3 linked regions of the Xenopus tropicalis genome follow. The protein of the gene in region 1 purifies or fractionates together with the protein of each later gene. This does not show direct contact. Links are inferred from orthologs where the notes say so. Each region holds a gene or a part of one and is shown on either strand. Other genes may lie near its edges.

Evidence for each region.
Region 2: the proteins of cct7 (region 1) and pdcl3 purify together in Homo sapiens (co-immunoprecipitation; 4 studies listed by BioGRID and IntAct, counting the BioPlex papers as one, with this or other methods). This does not show direct contact. The link is inferred for Xenopus tropicalis from reciprocal best matches to the Homo sapiens genes CCT7 and PDCL3.
Region 3: the proteins of cct7 (region 1) and tubd1 purify together in Homo sapiens (co-immunoprecipitation; 3 studies listed by BioGRID and IntAct, counting the BioPlex papers as one, with this or other methods). This does not show direct contact. The link is inferred for Xenopus tropicalis from reciprocal best matches to the Homo sapiens genes CCT7 and TUBD1.

What each region holds. Positions count from the first base shown.
Region 1 is NC_030677.2:16,900,520-16,904,119, forward strand, and holds the start of cct7 (T-complex protein 1 subunit eta), read right to left. Parts: upstream 2,591-3,600; 5' UTR 2,553-2,590; coding exon 2,547-2,552; intron 1-2,546. Other genes in the region: pradc1 (protease-associated domain-containing protein 1), read left to right, coding at 3,583-3,600. UniProt on the Homo sapiens protein: Component of the chaperonin-containing T-complex (TRiC), a molecular chaperone complex that assists the folding of actin, tubulin and other proteins upon ATP hydrolysis.
Region 2 is NC_030678.2:110,233,016-110,236,844, reverse strand, and holds the start of pdcl3 (phosducin-like protein 3), read right to left. Parts: upstream 2,584-3,829; 5' UTR 2,537-2,583; intron 2,444-2,536; coding exon of another isoform or gene 2,408-2,443; coding exon 2,402-2,407; intron 430-2,401; coding exon 309-429; intron 1-308. UniProt on the Homo sapiens protein: Acts as a chaperone for the angiogenic VEGF receptor KDR/VEGFR2, increasing its abundance by inhibiting its ubiquitination and degradation.
Region 3 is NC_030678.2:91,504,917-91,508,645, reverse strand, and holds part of tubd1 (tubulin delta chain), read left to right. Parts: intron 1-563; coding exon 564-795; intron 796-2,129; coding exon 2,130-2,294; intron 2,295-3,729. UniProt on the Homo sapiens protein: Acts as a positive regulator of hedgehog signaling and regulates ciliary function.

The sequences.
Region 1 (3,600 bases):
CTGGCCCCCTCCCCGGGCCGGATCTGGCCCCCTCCCCGGGCCGGATCTGGCCCCCTCCCCGGGCCGGATCTGGCCCCCTCCCCGGGCCGGATCTGGCCCCCTCCCCGGGCCGGATCTGGCCCCCTCCCCGGGCCGGATCTGGCCCCCTCCCCGGGCCGGATCTGGCCCCCTCCCCGGGCCGGATCTGGCCCCCTCCCCGGGCCGGATTTGGCCCCCTCCCCGGGCCGGATCTGGTTCCCTCCTGAAACCCATTCTAAACTGCCCCACAGAGGTTTCCCTAACAGCCTTCATGGCTCATGGGGACAGGGATGTCTCCCCAATGGGCAAGTGATTATGACCAACTGCAACCTGCCTGACAAATGTGCCTTTCCCCTCACAAGAGAAAGTTACGTTAAGGTTCCCAGAGATCAAGAGTTGGTCTTGAAAATCCCAGCAGGAAAAACAGACTCTGGTACCAGCTATGGGCCGCCCAGTGGTACTGTAGCACCCGGGATGTACTGGGGCACTGCTAATGTCCAGGATCTGCCAACCTATACTGGTCCCCAGTACTGGCCAAGGTCTGACAGGGATCACTGAGACACTGGCACTGCCCAAGGGATGAACAACACATAGAAGTGTTTTCAATGCACAGTAGCAATGGCAGTGCCCACGGTCTGACCGGCTCTAGGTGACTGGCACTCTGTGCCCTGTGTCTGACAGGCTGCAGTGTACCATGGGGCTATTGGCACTGCTTATAGTCTAATAATCTTTAGTGGTGACTGGGGGGCTGCCTGTGCCAGGGTGGGACTGGGGGGCTGCCTGTGCCAGGGTGGGACTGGGGGGCTGCCTGTGCCAGGGTGGGACTGGGGGGCTGCCTGTGCCAGGGTGGGACTGGGGGGCTGCCTGTGCCAGGGTGGGGCTGCCTAAGGGGGGACTGGGGGGCTGCCTGTGCCAGGGTGGGACTGCCTAAGGGGTGCCAGGGTGGGACTGCCTAAGGGGTGACTGGGGGGGCTGCCTAAGGGGTGACTGGGGGGCTGCCTAAGGGGTGACTGGGGGGCTGCCTAAGGGGTGACTGGGGGGCTGCCTGTGCCGGGGGGGCTGCCTAAGGGGTGACTGGGGGGCTGCCTGTGGCGGGGGGGCTGCCTAAGGGGTGACTGGGGGGCTGCCTGTGCCAGGGTGGGGCTGCCTAAGGGGTGACTGGGGGGTTGCCTAAGGGGTGACTGGGGGGCTGCCTAAGGGGTGACTGGGGGGCTGCCTAAGGGGTGACTGGGGGGCTGCCTAAGGGGTGACTGGGGGGCTGCCTGTGCCAGGGTGGGGCTGCCTAAGGCAGCGTTTTTCAACCACTGTTCCGCGGCACACTAGTGTGCCGCGAGATGTTGCCTGGAGTGCCGTAGGCAGGGCACCAATGTACTAGGGGGGCACTGCTGCTGGGCACCAATGTACTAGGGGGGCACTGCTGCTGGGCACCAATGTACTAGGGGGGCACTGCTGCTGGGCACCAATGTACTAGGGGGCACTGCTGCTGGGCACCAATGTACTAGGGGGGCACTGCTCTTGGCACCAATGTACTAGGGGGGCACTGCTGCTGGGCACCAATGTACTAGGGGGGCACTGCTGCTGGGCACCAATGTACTAGGGGGCACTGCTCTTGGCACCAATGTACTAGGGGGCACTGCTCTTGGCACCAATGTACTAGGGGGGCACTGCTGCTGGGCACCAATGTACTAGGGGGGCACTGCTCTTGGCACCAATGTACTAGGGGGGCACTGCTGCTGGGCACCAATGTACTAGGGGGGCACTGCTCTTGGCACCAATGTACTAGGGGGGCACTGCTGCTGGGCACCAATGTACTAGGGGGCACTGCTGCTGGGCACCAATGTACTAGGGGGGCACTGCTGCTGGGCACAGAGTTAAATTTTTTAACATTTTCTAATGGTGGTGTGCCTTGTGATTTTTTTCATGAAACAAGTGTGCCTTTGCCCAAAAAAGGTTGAAAAACACTGGCCTAAGGGGTGACTGGGGGGCTGCCTGTGCCAGGGTGGGGCTGCCTAAGGGGTGACTGGGGGCTGCCTAAGGGGTGACTGGGGGCTGCCTAAGGGGTGACTGGGGGGCTGCCTGTGCCAGGGTGGGGCTGCCTAAGGGGTGACTGGGGGCTGCCTAAGGGGTGACTGGGGGCTGCCTAAGGGGTGACTGGGGGGCTGCCTGTGCCAGGGTGGGGCTGCCTAAGGGGTGACTGGGGGGCTGCCTAAGGGGTGACTGGGGGCTGCCTAAGGGGTGACTGGGGGGCTGCCTGTGCCGGGGGGGGGGCTGCCTAAGGGGCACTACAGGGTATAGTAAGCACTGCCCACTTGCCCAGGGCCCTACAGGCTAAATGAAGGGTCGGGGCAGCCTGTAATGGCCCTGAGAGGAGCGGCTAATGAGGCCAAGAGACAGGCGCTGCGGCTTTGTGTGAAACAGCGGCACATGATTGCGGTAGAGACGCAGAACCCCTCGGAGACACAAGGGCCGCAGGGTGCGTTAGAGCCCCGGGCCGGATGGCGGAGGATGGAAGCGGATTGCACACTCACCATCATCTTGCTGAGCGGCGCCGGGTATAGATTCACAGAAGCCGGGTGCTGCAGTTCCCACAATGCACCGGGAAGGCCTTCCGGAACCTTCGGCAGCCAACTACCAACGGCCGAGGGGCTGGGCGATAAGGGGCGTGTTTAGAAGCTGTCGCCTTGACGACGCGGCTCGCCCGGCTAGGGCATGATTTCACCGGTTGCTAAGTTGGATTCTACCCTGTTCGCCCAACGTAGTTATGGTTGTGGCCATGTAATGCGTTCATGCTCAGGCGCAGAGAGGCTGGATAGTCGCACTGGGCTCAGAAATACCTGACAAGCAATGTTTTACTCTCAGTCATGTTGGTACACCCAAACAAGCGGGCTAATTCCGCTACGCCATCTTGGTACACCCAATCCCTCAGCGCGCAAGTGTGCTGTCATTGATCGGTATTAAAGTATTATAATATTTACTTTTGTCTGCCTGCTACTATCTGCCCTACCCTGTAACATGGGCAATGTAGCCGGAGGAGTAGTGGAATGTCGCTGGCTTGGATGGGAAGTAACTACTGTGATTTTTATTTATGAAATAATGTGCAGATGGGCAGCTTAACTCAAGTGCTGGAACATTTATTGCGTAAGGAAAGTCATAAGGCAATGTGAAGTCCCCCGGGCTTTTCCCAGTGGAACGTCCCCTACGTTCTAAAGACTGTGTGAGGGCTATACCATTCATTGCCGTGGGGGGAAGTTTAGGTTAAGTGCTGGAGCATTTATTGCATAAGGAAAGTAATAAGGCACTGTGACGTCCCCCGGGCTTTCCCCAGTGGAACGTCCCCCACGTTCCAAAGACTGTGTGAGGGCTATACCATTCACTGCCGTGGGGGGGAAGGTGCTTCCCCATGTTGCAAGCTTGGTGCTGAAGACGGACACACACGCTTGTTATTGGATTCCTGTGTATTAGACGGAATTTGGTAATTGGTTGGTGATGAAACGGGGAGCCAATGAGAGCCGCTGATCTGTACCAATAGGATGAGGGGGAGGGCGGAGCGCTGCATTGGCAGACATGCAAGGTGGTGTGTGC
Region 2 (3,829 bases), on another chromosome or scaffold:
TATCTATACACTCACATACATAAACTATATATATACCAACATCAATACTAATTGTATATTTTAGTATCACAATAGCCTTGGATATTATCCTTGTTCAAGAAATCATCTAAACCACTCTTAAAAGGCATTAAAAGAATCTACCATCACAACATTACTCAGAAAATACAAGGGATGTAATTCCTCATTGAAATGTGGGTGTGCTTGCCTCTATTCTATTGCAGGTTAGTGTCTTTTATTACATAAACCCATTTAACACCAAAAACCATAATGAAAACTTGAGTTTCTCTGTTAGTACCCTTATAACTCACCAACAGATTGTTGCTGGAGAATTTCTGCTTCTTCCTCCTCTTCATCCTGTGGCTTTTCCTTTGGAGGAAGGATACCTTTTCTACGCAGAATATCATTCCACTCTGTGTCTGCGTTTGGATCCTAAAACAAGCATGTGTCAATTTAAAAAATGCAACAATAACCCAAACAAGAGTCTTAAAACATTAAATGATCTAGAAAGAACACTTTTTTCCCCTTAAAGGAGAATGCAAGTCAAAAGTTAAAAAGCATACTGCCCAATAGTCCTCCTATTGTTTAGTAAAAACGCCACACTTTTGGCTCACCTAATCCAATATTTACTCAGTCACACTTACTTACATTTTCTAGAACAGGCAGCCATCTCTAAAAAGGTATTCTCCCTTCCCTTCCCTCCTTGCTTCATACTGCACATGTGTTTCATTCCCTCCCCCCCCCCCCTCTGCCAGATCCGCTTCTGATTGGCTGGTGGGCATGTGTAGCTCAGAACAGGAGACAGGATCAAGTTACACACATGCTCAGAGAATAGGAAGGCTGCCGTTGGCAGCCTACAAGAAGGGCAGAGAGATTTCAGTGATGTCACTGTAGGCTTCACACTGCTGTAGGCTGCCAGCACTATATCTCAGAGAAGCAAGCAGGGATCTGGGAATTTAGATATGCAGTAAATACTTAAAAAGAATGCCTTTAGATTTACTTTTAATTTATATTAAGCTTTCATTGTCCTTTAAACTTTATTTTAAATGTTAAAAACAGTATACACATAAAGGTTTTTAGCTCCAATCAGTGTGCACTACCTTCCAGTTATGTTACAATCCACACAGTGGATACTAATCCAAGGAGTGCACTTTCTTTTGTGGCAGAACTTGAAAACAAAGACTGGAAAAGGTAAGGACATTCATAACCACTAATGATACCACAGATGACAGATCAAAGAATAAGCGCAATTGTTAACTGCTTCTTCAATACTAATAAAATATTTTTCTTCTTTAAATGAGGAGAGCTCTGGGAGACTGTACCCAGTAACATTAAAACCAAATACAGTACAGGTAAGGGGTCTGTTATCTGGAAACCCTCTATCCAGAAAGCTACGAATTTCAGAAAGGGCATCTCCTATAGACTCCATAAAATAATTCAACATTTTAAAACATATTTCCTTTTCACTGTATTGTACTTGATCCCAACTTAAATATAATTTATCATTATTAATTGGTGGCAAAAAAAATCCTACTGGGTTTATGCAATGTTAAATGATTTGTTAGTAGACCTGAAGTATGCAGATTCATATTACGAAAAGAGTCCTTATCTGGAAAACCCCAGACGCTGAGCATTCTGGATAACAGGTCCCATACCTGTATTATGTAGCTGGGCAGACTGCATGGTCTTGACGGAACTACACTGAGGGGGACATTTGCTAGCACCACTGTTGGTATGTCTAGAACAGAATCACACTAAAGTTGGCCATACACGCATCGATGATATTGTACAAAACCTCGTTTCGAATGATATTTGGTGCGTGTATGGTGGCTCAATGAGATGACCGATATCACAAAAGGCTGCAGATATCAGTCGACTTGTCGATCGGCCAGGTTAAAAGATTTTGATCGGGCGCCATTTAAGCAAAATCTACATTCAGGGCTGAATCGGCTGAAAGAGGTAGAATTTCCATTGTTTCTACCTCCATATCTGATGATTCAGCCCTGAACATCAGTGGAGGGTGGGAAAGAACAAAATTGCTATGTATGGCTACCTTAAGATCCATAACTTCTGTTATGTAAAGGCAACATCTCTTTTTGTTTGTCAGACTCTGCTCCTCTATTGCTCTGCAAATGACTTGCCTATGTGCTAATTTTAAGTTGCAGCAGTAATTTCAATTTAGAAAGACAAAGCCCATATGTATAATAGCCGGGAGGTGTAGCCAGAAAGGGACAGAGCCTATTATACTGTGGAGCAGGCAACCACTCAACATCCACAAACGCATTTTTTTCGCCCGGGTAGACTATATAATTTATTGTGCCCCCTGCCCCCCTCGGGTGCAAGTAGCAAGCCCCGGCGCTACCCTACATACACACTGCTGAGTAAAGAGACGTATCCCTCTCACCTGCATCTCGCCGCTCCCTGGGCACACGCAGTGTAAGCGATTCTGCACAAAACAAGAATAATAAGAGATACGTTGAGAAAAAGGTTACTATAACATTACTGTCACTATAAAACCCCGCAGCTCCCTGTCTCTTACAAGCCTCTCACAGACACACGCTGCTAGCCGGCTGGGGGAAGTACCCGTGAGCCTCTGCTAGTGCTTCCTGCCCCAGTGCCTGGCCTTATAAGGAAGTAGCTCGATATGGAGCCGCCACTGCCTGACAGAGCCGTGTGTGTGTGTGTGTGTGTAACATTAGTGCAGCTGTCAGGGGGAGGAAACCGTGTGTGTCAGAATCTGTTCTTAACTGAACCTCAAAATGTTAAGACTTGGCAAGGAGGTTAATAAAAGTGCCCATATATTAGTAAACTCAGACCCCTTATTGTGAAAAAGGGATTTGGGTTAATACCCCTTTTGAGTCCATTTCAAACCCTTCCAGTACTTTATACATAAATACAAGTTGCTTATTTGATGTTTAAAGTTCTCACACGGTCTCTCGTCATTAAGGTGTGAGTGGAATTAACAGGCTGTTGGTTTTCACTTCCAGAGACCACACAGTATAAATGCAGCGGTGTATAAGTAAATCCTGCGCCTCCGCTTGCACTCCCTCCAACAAAATAATCAGAGTTCATAGCGTAACAGACTTCATCTAAACACACCGGCATGCTATTAAGCAACTTACGTTGAGTTTAGAAAAATCCCACGTTTACGGGCAGTAGCAGTCTCCTTCCCTATACCGATTCAGAGCTTGCTTCCCTTCCTCCCATGTGATTCTCCTCCCGGTGCCTGCGGGGTCCTAATGCTCTCAGCTAGTTTCTCCAGTCACAGCACTCCCCAACATCCACTCCCCAACATCCACTCCAGATATGCAAAAATCAGAATGCACTATTAAGAATTGTAATCAATTCAGTATAAAATTAAAAATCAAGACTTATATATAGGATTCCTGAATCAAGCCCAATTTAAAAAAATATACATAAATAGATAAAACATTAAATACAGAATTCCTAAACCCATATAAATAGTTAGAGCCACAGTTACAAGTGTTAATATAAAAAAGGAAAATACTCATAAGAAGCATGTCAGGTGAAAATCAATATTTAACCCCTGAGGCACCAGTGTCCCCAGCTGATATATCCATTTAGTTTCTTCCAGGGAGAGACTCTTTTTTAAGTCTCCTCCTCTCCATTTGGGTTTCATATGGCTCATCCCCATAAACTTAAGGCCACTGGGGTCTTTATTGTGTACCTTGGCAAAGTGTTGAGATAAATGATGTTTCATATACCCCTTTTTTATATTCCGTATATGTTCCCCCAATCTCGTCTTTAGCTTTCTTGTGGTTCTCCCAACATATTGCTTTCCACAAGGGCACTGTAGGAGGTAGACAATATT
Region 3 (3,729 bases), on another chromosome or scaffold:
TTTATGGACGTTAATTATTTTCCACACTGTTTGAATCTGAATCCTAAATGGAATACTTTTTTTGTGTTATTGAATTTCAGATTATAGTTAGAAAATGGCAAGTATGATAGATTTTATATGCTTATAGAAGTACTTTACATTAGGAACATAATGTGCTGTAAGGCTGATCTGATTAAATCTGTTGAACTGCCTCTTTAAAGGAACCCCTGTTAAAACCCAGTAACCCAATATTATCAACACTTGAAAAAGGGATGTTCAAACTGCTTTTCTCCTATTCGGCACTTGCTAATTAGCAGTTGTTCCCATTCTGCACTAAATGGATAGATGATTTTTTAAAATATATTGCTTACGAAACTGCACAAGATACTAGAATAGTAGTCAGAGTGAAATACATTCTCCATGTAGACAGTATGCAAGTTTTGTATTTGTACCTTTAGGTTTGAGGTATTAGAATGGTAATACATGCCCCATTTATCCTTTTGAGTTCAGCTTCATTGGTTTTCAGGCTCACAATAGAGTAATATTGCAGAAAGTTTTAAAGAAAACACTTTTTTTCCTGGCAGGTTATTGTTCAAAACTACAATTCTATTTTGACGCTCTCTCATCTCTACCGGTCTTCAGATGCCCTGCTAGTTCATGAAAATGATATTATTCATAAAGTTTGCTCTCAGCTGATGAATATAAAGCAGATTTCTTTCAGGGATGTCAACAAAGTAATTGCACATCAGCTGGGCAGTATATTTCAGCCAGTGTATACATCAGAAGAAGCCTTGCACTACTGCAGAAATCCACTTGGTATGTCTTTAATTTATTACTACAGTCTAACAAGTAAATGTAATTTGCTGTTTGATAGAGCATAGTATGAAATATAGAACACAACTTTAACCTTTAACACGCCATGTCATTCTTGCCTCCATGTGTTTATTTCTTTACACTTTTACCTTTATCTGCATCTCTAACATTCCTCCTGCTCTGTTCCCACAATTGACTTTTACTTAGGGGCACATTTACTAAAATGTGTTTTTTTCTGGCCTCGAAACATGATATGGTATAATTTCGAAGTAACCACGATAATTTCTGTAGTTCTAAAATGTCTCGACAATGCTTTTATTGTTCGTACAAAAATATCGCAGTTGCGTTCCAAATGTCACAAAATTTTTGTGCCAAAAAGTTTGTTAACGCCTTCCATAGGACACAATGGCACTCGACAGATCAAACCTGGTGAAAAGATAGTCCAGATGAAAGTGTGACCAAAGCGTTAACGAATTCCGAAATGTTTATATTCTTTGCGCAAAGTATGATTTTTTGTGGAAATTTACCACAATTTTAATGAAATTTTTGCGTACATTACATGTTCTATAATTTAGAAAAAATACAAATATATCTCCAAATCGTTTAGTAAATGGGACCCTTAGGGGGAGATTTACTAATCCACGAATCTGAATCCCAAAAGGGAAAAATTTGGATTGGAAGCAAAAATGTTGCCGTCTTTTCATCGCTGTCACGACTTGTTTGTATTTGTCGCGACTTTTTCGTATTAAGCGGTTGTAAACGGCGGAAAAACCAATCCGATTTTTTCACGACGGCAATGAAAAAGTCACAGAAAATATACAAAAAAGTTGCGACGGCAATGAAAAAGCCGCGGAACATACGTAAAAGTCGCAACGGCAACGAAAAAGTCGCAAAAATACAGATCATTACAAAAAAAACTCATTCTAACGCCTTCGGACCGTTCGTGGATTAGTAAATGTGCCCCTGTGTGTACTCACCTACATTCTACATGATAATTTACATGCATTTTTTATTTTTCCACCCCACTGCTTTCTGTGCTACGTGCAGAATCTTTCTCAGCAACTTTATTTTTACTCCATTGTTCCACACATCTTCTCATCAATCCTTTAAATCTTTCACACAGCTTTTGTGGTCTGTGCACATTAATTTACTACCTAATTCATCCTTTATCAGATATGTCCATTGGGCATATCCATGCATGGAAAACAGTGTTCTTTTTAGTGTAACCACACAAATTTAAAAGGCCACATTAAAATAAAAATAAAAAAAAAATATATATATATATATAAACTTTTTCAGGGTGCTTGCTAATACAATATTTTTCCTTTTCTTCCCAGGGGAATTAATGGAGTGTTTGGTTCCACACCCAGAATACAAGATGCTGGGTCTCCGTAACATTCCTCAAATGTCTGAACACTCCTTGGCATACAGTACATTTAATTGGAATGGGCTGCTCAAACATTTGAGGCAAATGCTCATTGCAAATGCTAAAATGGAAGAAGGTAAGGACACTCATGAAATAGTACTTAAAATAAATACAAATAGCTAGGCAGTTAAAACATAAGCTGTCTTGTTCACTGCTAGAGTTTATTTCTCTTGGACATTCCCATGGTGATTTTGGACAGTTTTATGGAATAAAAGCTCCTTTCACTTATGTTGTTTAAATGATTTTACTGATAGAAATTGTGGTTATAGCTTCCACAGTAAGAGCATCACAAAACTTAATTCTGTTGGCTCCCATGTTAGCACACAAACCTGTCTTAGTGTATTCAGCTTAGATCACCTAGACATATACTAAAATTTTTGCAAAGAGAATTTATTTTCTGCTCACATACATCATTCTGTGTAAAAGTTTTGTCAGTATAAATCCAGAAAGACAAAAGTCCCTGAAGTCATTGATATTTCCATGAACAGCCCTCTGCCATGTTTCCTTTAAAGTGATACTGACACCAAAAAATTTATTTTAAAAGTATGAACCTACTTCCAAACCTACCTATAGGTCATGTTGACTTTTTTTCTAAAAGTCCTGTTTCTCTACATAAATCTTACTGAAGATCCTGAACCCGACTGTCTGGCAACCCGACTGTAGCTTCTCAATCTGTCAAAAGGACTGCGTCATAAACTGGGAGGATTCAGCTTGCCATTTGCTTCAAAGAGCTCCCCCTCCCTCGCATAGCATTGCATGGAGTTGTGAACTAGATAGCAGGCAGGCTTCATCTTTCCATTGCCTGCCTACTTCAAAGGGCTGTGCCCCCTCTCTGCTCTTCCCACGAAGAATTAAATAACAGGCCTGCTTAAGCTCTCCAGTGCCTGTCTGCTTCTAAGGGCTCTCTCTTCCCCCTCCCCTCCCCATTACACATAGACTACGGAGCTGAGCTTGTCACACCGGCAGAAAGCAGAAGGGGCATGCAGCTTTGTGATTGGGCATATTTATTCATTTGGGAGGCATTTCAATGAAAATCTGGAAAAGGGGAACAAACATGGCTGCTCCGTGGGTCTGTAATTTGTGCTACCATAATTATGAAGTGGAAAAACTTTGCAGATTTAGTTTATAAGGAATTTAAAGCTGATACAAATTAAAACACAACAGCAGGTGTAAAAATAATTTAATTGGCTGTCAGTATCACTTTAATTCCACTGCTAGATATCAGGAATTTTTAGAACAAGTGTGCCAATTAATAAATGCCCTATAAAATATTCCTACAAAAACACACAACAACTAATTACTTTGGAACCAGCACACCCTAAATAATGGGTTTCTTTACTCTTTAGACATTGTACAATTGTCCAGTGTTTCAGCCAATATTAGACCTTTAGGACCTTTCTCAAGGATGGAGAGAAAAGTCCCAATGAGGACCAAAATGTTGGACATCTGAATGTATAAAGAATAAAGAAACACATTATATATCGAGTGCTAATCCCAAAGTCATTATTTGG